Callithrix jacchus: one gene and its partner. The protein of the gene in region 2 purifies or fractionates together with the protein of the main gene of each other region. This does not show direct contact. Links are inferred from orthologs where the notes say so. Each region holds a gene or a part of one and is shown on either strand. Other genes may lie near its edges. The genes, in order: GTF2A1 and TBPL1.

The links.
Region 1: the proteins of TBPL1 (region 2) and GTF2A1 purify together in Homo sapiens (affinity purification with mass spectrometry; 5 studies listed by BioGRID and IntAct, counting the BioPlex papers as one, with this or other methods). This does not show direct contact. The link is inferred for Callithrix jacchus from reciprocal best matches to the Homo sapiens genes TBPL1 and GTF2A1.

The regions. Positions count from the first base shown.
Region 1 is NC_133509.1:116,182,251-116,186,780, reverse strand, and holds the start of GTF2A1 (transcription initiation factor IIA subunit 1), read left to right. Parts: upstream 1-1,710; 5' UTR 1,711-2,151; coding exon 2,152-2,181; intron 2,182-3,113; exon of another isoform or gene 3,114-3,187; intron 3,188-3,957; exon of another isoform or gene 3,958-4,141; intron 4,142-4,530. UniProt on the Homo sapiens protein: TFIIA is a component of the transcription machinery of RNA polymerase II and plays an important role in transcriptional activation. TFIIA in a complex with TBP mediates transcriptional activity.
Region 2 is NC_133505.1:140,665,170-140,668,982, reverse strand, and holds part of TBPL1 (TATA box-binding protein-like 1), read right to left. Parts: intron 3,389-3,813; coding exon 3,306-3,388; intron 3,139-3,305; coding exon 3,075-3,138; intron 1,574-3,074; coding exon 1,470-1,573; intron 1,373-1,469; coding exon 1,278-1,372; intron 1-1,277. UniProt on the Homo sapiens protein: Part of a specialized transcription system that mediates the transcription of most ribosomal proteins through the 5'-TCT-3' motif which is a core promoter element at these genes. Seems to also mediate the transcription of NF1. Does not bind the TATA box.

The DNA of each region.
Region 1 (4,530 bases), on a different chromosome or scaffold from region 2:
AATCTCATAGCTTCTCTTCCATGTCCAGGGCAGTGGTTTCAACCTTAATTGATGGCAAAACTACTCAACCATTTATCAAGAATACGAAGTGGTAGGGGAGAAAACTAAGTGGAAGGTGAGGGATTCCATGTACAAAGCGTTTGGGAGTATGTATATAGGGAGGTAACAAGAAGTCCTCTCAATATGCAGTAAAATTTACCAGGAATGGTATTGTTTAGTGTAACTTTACAATTGGGCTATCACCTGAATATTAAATAAATCACAAATGTTGATTGAATCACAATTTTACATTGCTAAGAACACTGATTTCCTGTGATTTTTTTTCTTTAAGTGTTCCAGACCATGCAGCTGTGCAGGTAACTGGAAGTAATTGTTAAGAGGGGAATGGATTTGGTGTGAAAATAAATCTCAAGGTTCATAGATATTCTCCACACCCATTGATAATCTCCCATTTTCTGCGTATTAAAGGCCCCTGCTTTCTCTAATCCCTTTCTTCAGGTGTTGGCAGGCTGCATTTTTTTTTTTTTTTTCTCTTTGGTAAGATGCCTTTGACATTCTTCAAATCTGGTTTCACCAGCAAAGAACTTTTCGTTTTGCTCTGTCTTTGGAAGACAAACTCCTTCACTCATCCAGATGACATTTCAGGTCCCTCAAAATTCCAGGGGCTCCGTTCTGCTTGTAATGTTGATATAAAGGCAGGATTTGTTTGGACAGAGGAGGTCAAAAGCTTATTGGATTGCACTTCAAGACACGGGCACAGCCGCCGTGCTCTCTTATAACTAGAGGCCAAGCGATTTGGGTCAAGGGCATGTGTTTCAATGTGATCAGTCACTACACGTTGGCCATGCGGAGTAGTGGGATTTTGGCAGTATTTTTTAAAACCAGGGAAAGTTATTGTGCTGTTATAATCCAAAGGCTGGTGGGGTTGTCTCCCCTACTCCCCGCACCGCATTTCCACCACCGTGACAAATTATTTAAAGTACGTGGGCTAGTAGGGAACTAATCTCTGGGTAACCTAAGTAAGCCTGGTCTTCGTAGCGGACCCAGTGTGGAAACAAACCAAGTCAGAGGTTAGTAACTCTGGAATGTGAAAGTGGGCCCCAATCGGCTTTTACTCCCATTGGGAAATTCTACATAATTCTGCCCGCGAAAGACCCACCCTCGGCGAGGAGCGAACGCTCCGAGGCTCACAGTCAAAGCCTCGCTGACAAATCAAGAGATGACTCCGCATTTAAAACCGTCCCGAATCGGAACCCGCCAGAGGCCGGAAGCCGCACCACGTGACCAGTTCTCCGCGGCCATTCCTAGCGAGGCAGTCGCTACCGCTTGTCTCATTTCCTAGCTCCTCCAGCGCGGGACCGGGCGGAAACGTGCGACAGGAGGCGGTCCCACCTAGCTTTGGACTGGAATGTCACTAGAACTCGCGCCTTTTCCAGAAACGCTTTGCAAGTACTTCACCGCAAAGAACTGCGGCAGACTTCCGCCTGGGTGCCAACCACGTGATCACGCGAGAGTTGGAGAGGCGTAGGTCCGACTTCACTACTTCACTACCCAAGCTCCGCCAGTCGAGCACCCCCACCGCGCGTGACGACGCGGCTCGCGGCGGCCTCCGCCCCGACGCGCCTGCGCACGCGGCTCTCGCGGTGTCTCGCGCTCAGCCCCGCCCACCTCTGCCCCCGCCCTTTCCACCCCTCCCTCCCCCATCACCCTGTCTCTCAGCGGCGGCGGCGGCGGCGGCGGTTCGCGCAGCTTGTTGGCTCGCTATATAAAGGAGAGAAGCGAGCGGACCGGACGGCTGGAGCTGCAGCCGGTGGCAGCAGCGGCGGCGCAGGGAGCGGTGACCGGTGGTGGTTTCCCTCCTTGGCGCGGGGTGGGGAGCGGGCAACGCCCCCGGACCCCTTAAGGGTCGTGGATTTTTTTTTAAAAAGACGATTCTCGAGGTTTTTAGCTGCGGGAGGAGTGCCCCCCTCCTCCTCCTCCTCCTCCTCTCCGCTCTCCCCTACTCCTTCAGGATTGATTTTGTTTAAGTTTTTTTCCCCAATCTTGCGGTGACTTGGGTCACCCTCGGGTGTTTTAGTATTTTTTTTTTTTGGTTTTGTTTTTATCTTGTTTTCTTGGGGTTGCCCCCTCTTGTTTGTGTTGTGTGTGGAAATGGCGAACTCGGCAAATACAAACACCGTGGTAAGGACGTGGTTCGGTGGCCGGCGGGGGCTTCGTTCAGGCGGCAGCAACGGCCGGACCGGGCGGGGGCGGGGACGGCGGCGACTCCCGGCCTCGACTCTTCAGCCGCCCGCGCGGCCGCCGCCGCTGCCGCCGCCGCTTCCCGCCTCGGGCGGATCGGGCCGGGGCGGCGGGCGGCGGGCGCGGGGGGGCGCCGAGGGCTCGCGGCTCGGGGAGGGCGGGGGCGCCGGCGGGGCCTGGGGCCGCCGCGGGCCGGGTCGGGCCGCGGAGGCGGTTGGGCCCGGGCGGGCGCGCAGCCCCGGCCCCAGAACCCGGCCCCCGGGAGGGAGGGCGTGAGGGGAGCCGCCGCTTCCCCCCGAGGGGCCCGTCCGCGCTGGCTAGACGATGGCTCCCCGAGCGGCTTAAGAACAAAAACCGTGTCTGGGGAATCGGGCGAACCCCTGAGACCCACCGTGATCCACTTTAATGCAGTGGAGGATTAATGGCTACTTTTGGGGGTTACTTAGGTTTTTTCCTGGCAGTTGTGCTTTGGGAACCTTCACTGGGGCCATTTTATGTTTAAAAAAAGGACTAAGGTTGTTTGAAAAGCACTTATCTCAGTTCCTTCCGAATGGGTAAAATGGCGAAGGGGAAGCAACCCCCCCCCCATCGTATCTTCGACTAGCAAAAGCACCAAAACAAACAAAAAAAGCCTACAGTGGTCCAAGTGTCCCTGCTTTCGCCTTGAAATTTGCCTACTTCTTCCCGTTGGTCCCTTTTTGGTTATTTGCGATCACGTAGGTTTGCAAAAAGCAGTCACATAAATAACCTTTTCAGTCACCAACGCAATGTGATCACTAGTCCCCCCAACTCTTATTTTTATATGACAATAAAACACGTTTTTGCCCGGTCCCAAATGCCGCAGACTAGCCCGCGGCCGCCCGACACCGTACCGTTGGCGACTCGGGTCGATCCATCATGGCTGCGGCCGCTTACCCTGCTTTTCAGTCCCTGAGCTTTGTGGTCCTCCTCCCTTTGGCTGCCCTGTTTATATAGAGCCATTGCCGCTCTCTAATATAGACTCTGCCAGGATGGGTAGGTGCTTTTCAGGCCTACGTCACCGCCTCTCCATTTAAACACCAGATCCGGCTTTAAATAGTGAGAGCTGCTGAGAGCGGGGCTGGGAGGTGCGTGCTCCCGAGGCGAGAGCCAGGCGCGTGCGGAGCTCAGTTTATTTGTAGGTCCTTTTTTCACGCTGTAATTTCGCGCCTGTCGGGGGCTGCTTTCAGAGCCCCAAGTTTTTGTTTTGTTCCTAGCAGCAGCTAGGAATTACCTTCTTTTGTTTGTTAGGGGAAATATATCCGAATCGCTGTCCGTTTTTATTTACAATTTTCAAAATATGAAAACAAAGAATTTTTGATCAGATAGTCTAGTGATTTTCCTGTGTGCATTATTTTCAGGAATTAAAAAAACTGCTTTCTACAAAGTGTTAGCTGCAGAGGACTTGGTTTTTGTTGTATTTTGTTCAAATATTCAGGAAACAGGTTAGAAATACAGCTCCTAATATTTCATTATGTTTTTCTATAGTAAATCTAAAAGACACGAGGCCTTTCAGAGAAATAGATAAGTGCCTGAAGCTTCAGAATAGGACCATTTATGTGTAGGGGAATCGTGAGTAATTAGAGGGAAGAGACTTAGTGCAAACTGGATTTTAAAAAACTGTTAAGTAGAACTTTATCGCCTTGGATATTATTAACACAGTATCCAGTATAAAAATTATTTCAATTTATTTTTCAGCATTGCATCAGGGAATTAACATTTTTGAAGGAAACCTCCTAAGAAATCACTTAATAATGCCACTAGTGGCCCTCTGATAAACCAGTTTTCAAGTTTGAAATACCTGTCTTTTTAAAAATCAGGACAAACCTAAACTATTTCGTGAGAAACGGAAACTTTGACTCAATAGAGTGAAGAATTTTAGGTACTAGTTTATAAATTGCTTATTTCAAATAATGCCTATGTGCCCACATAGTTTTCAAAAATTCGTGTCTTGAGTGCTTTTCAAATTGTGAACAATTCTAAATTATTCATTGGGCATATACTTTGTGAAGCATACACGTTTCCCTTCTTTAAACTATAGTGCTTATGAAGCTGTTAAGTGATCAAGTTGTGAGTTCATTAAGGCACAAAAATAAAATCTTAAAGAATGATTCATTAAGTAGAGGAGTACCAGAAGAAAGCAAATTTATACCTATATATCTCTGGATCTCCAAGCAAAAGGTTTTTAGAGGTAACTGATTTGAGGAACACCACACCATCTAGTTTACTGAAAAGCATTATGTATTGTCAATTTGAGATTTATGCTCCCAA
Region 2 (3,813 bases):
AAACTATTTTAATAAAATTTATTTCAATAAAAATGGCTTCATTAATATACACTTACTGCTTTTGAAAGACCCAGGAAACTAACAAATTCACCCACTGTAAACTCTCTAAAGGTCCTAACCACATCCTGTCTTGGTCAGGTCCTTCCTGACTCATTTTACCCCCACGCTGCTATGCTTTGCTCACGGGAACCAATTCAGTATTACTAACGTTTCACAGGATATTCCTGGTGTAAGTAAATAATGCATACCACTTAACCAGGTCAATTGTCTTCAGTTTGTTATCGTTTTAATATCTAGTAACTCAGTAAACAGTTTTGCATATGCATTGTTTTATTGTATACTTAGCAGAGATTTACTAATAGACTTTGGAGCTTCTCAGATGTCCAGGTTCCAAAGTGTAGAAACAGAGAGCAGAAAGAAGGGAAGAAACAGACGTGTCCCCTGCTGTCCCATATTTAAGATTCAGGTGGGATCTTGGAATCCGCTTTGAAAGTTCCCAAGGAAAATGGAAAAACCCATGGGATGAGTTAAAACTAAAGTTTATTTGTTGAGAGATTAAATTGTTATTTTCCTCTAAGGACTGAAGAAAGAAAAAACAAAGCTCAAGGACACTAAAGAAATCTTAATTCATTTTTACCTAAGGTTGGGCCTGACTCTCAAGCAATGCCTCTGTACACTTTATAATCATTATAGTACCATTAAAAAGTCACACAACATGCTAATGCTACCCTTTGACATGAATGCCTAGTCTTCTGAAACTACCCCTTCTCCAAATAAAGATTCAAAAGATACAGCAAGATAAACATAATAAACAGGTACCAATTATATTTAATATTTTGCTTATGTAAAACCTCTGTGAAATTTATAAAATCAGTTTCTCATGAGTATTTGAAATGTAAGATATCATAAATTAAAAAAAATATATCATACTATGGATACACACACCAGAATATTTTTAAAGCTCCACACTGGAAACTATTCAAATGTCCATACATAAGAATGAATGATCTACATACAATTATACAGAACATAATGCAGATAAATCTCACTAAGATAATGCTGAGTGAAAGAAGACAGACACAAAATAATATGTGTAACATTTGTAGATAGTACAAAAATAGGTAAAACACATCTACAGTGCTAAAAGTCAGGAGACTGCCTCCTAAAGGGCAGAAGTGACAGATAGGAACAAATCAGACATTATTTCTATGTTGGTATGAGCATCCTGTATCACTCAATCCATAATTGACAAGTTTGGTAACGATATAATAGAATACCTGTTACTGTGATACTTCCTGTCGAAAAAATCTGTAATGTAGCTCTTAGAGACTTTATCCGATAGCACACAGCAGGATGAAGTTCAGGTTCATAACTACACAAAAAAAGCCACAATTAATATAAGTGTTTATAGCCTGACTGGTAATTTCAAATTTGGTAATTTATCAAGAGAATCTGCTTCAAAGACTTACCTGGCATGAGGTCTATTGTTCTTTGTGAATTCTGGCAAACGGATTTCAAATGGCATGTTACACACTGCCAAAACGTTAACAACCTTAAAATCTGTAAATATTACCTTTAGGAGAGAAGTAAAGCTCAATAAATTTATTCTGAAACAAACAAAAAAGTCTGCTCATAATGGCAATCCTTAATAATTGTCAATCCTTAAAAACAAGAGCAAACAAGATAAAAACATTTTAAGTGTATGTTTAGTACTGTAAGTTGCGTAGCATTGAAAGCTTTGTTTTTTAAAAAGCTCAAAAACATCATTAAAAAAATTAAAACCTGAGGTATTTGCATGATTAAAACAGTATGGGTCTTTCTAATCATATGTGTAATTTTTTTTTAAATACTTTAAGTGAAATACTTAAAACTACTAGGAAAAGAGGGAATAGTGAGGGAAAAAATTTAAGGCCAGGTCATCCTGCTAGAGCAAAAATGGAAAAGATGTCACTTTAAAATGTCAGTAAATACAGACTGTACACTGGGCTCCAAAAGTCAGATGTTTTTCTCATATGCAGTTAGGTAAAATGGCATTTCTGTAAGATTAGTACAGAAATTTGGGGATAGAGTGACAAAATTGTTTTTAACTAATCGGGATTTCTCTCTACACTTCTGATGTCATGCTAAGAAAAGAAGTTCCAAGGCCGAAAATAATGCTCTCTTAACAGTAATAACTTCGGCCACTCCTACCAGCATCTTCAACTGTTTCATCTTGTTATTTTTCAAACATTCCTCCTAAAATCACAATTTCAGAGGCGCTAACTATCCTCCAGCTCAGTCTTGCACACAGCAGTTGCAGAAAGCCAGGAAACCACAAAGTGGCAGCACTCTCAAATCACAGTACAACTCAAGACTCTCTACTGCCTCCCTCCTCAAGCATGAACCCCTTCTCCCACTAGCCATTCAGTCTTTTCCTATCACCGTCTACTTCAGAAGGACTGAGTAGACTGAGTCATCAGAGGGAAACGCAACTTTCCATCCCCACTTCTACAAATTTGTCTCGATCCCAAACAGCCTTGCCTTCACCCTGAGGGAGCATATCTCATTTTTATCTTTCACTTCTCTATTATTTGCAAGTGATCTAGCAAGTCCATAATACATAATTATTTTATTCAAAGGTATACCGATATCAAATTACACTGATAAGGCTGACATGCCGGTGACAGTCACGTTACAAGTGTGAGAGCCTGCCAGCTGGTGTGCCCATGTCAACAGGCCTCTGCAGTTCTCTATTTACCATCCTGACCTGGCATTCTTGAGATGACCAAAAATGATTTTGTATGTGTATGTCAGAAGTGAAAAAACTTAAAAAGAGTTGAAAAGGAAATTAACCTGTGAGGAAACAAGTCCCTTTATGGGAAAGGAATTAGGGAAAAAGCTAGGATCCTTTACAAATACCCACATGGCCAAATTTTGCTACTAATTTTCACGCTGAAGGGCAGTATTAAAAACCTAGAAAAAGTTCAATCACGAGAATAGTATGTATAGTGATTTCTTGAGTCTATTACAATTTTTAATTCTACAACAATAAATCCTTCAATATTTGTAGTTTAGATAGTGTTTGAAAATGTTACCTGAAAACCGAGTTTCTGCAGACTGCGGGCTAAACGTCTGGCACCAAATTTAGCTTCTTCTTCACTATGGTTTTAAGGAAAGGAAAAGATGATCAGTCACACAGGAAATAAATTTTTACCCCGAGGAACACAGCAAGCTTTACATATAATTTTGCTGTTAAATCTAGGACAATGTCCTTTCCTTGAGGATAAAAGTAAAAAATAAAAATAAAAAATTCAAGTAGCATTTACCTTGTTGCTCCAGTGCAAATAATTTTTCCTGAGGACCAAATTGTAGCTGTAATTCTAGGTTTTCTAAGCTTCATTAATACTTTCTGGGGGGGAAAAAAATCTGATTACCTCATAAGCATTACTTTTCACATATGGTTCTGTTGTATACAGCCATATTAATGTCCAAGTACTACTCCAAGCTTAACCAAGACTGCAATAACTGCTCTCCAAATCACCCATTCTGAAATCAAGTACAATGCTAAACACAAAGAACATATTAATCCAAAAAGACATTTGATTAATTAAAAATACAAGGTGGATAGAAACCTCTCACTCTATATACTTGAAATAAATATACTCCAAGTACATAAACATTTCAACTCTCATTCCACTCCAGTCACATAACTGGAACTTACATGGCTCCTCACACACACCAAATCTGTTCATGCCTCAGAAGCTTTGCAGTAGCTGTTGCTTTCATTTGGAATATTCTCCCCTCAATATTCTCACTTCATTCAGGTCTCTTATC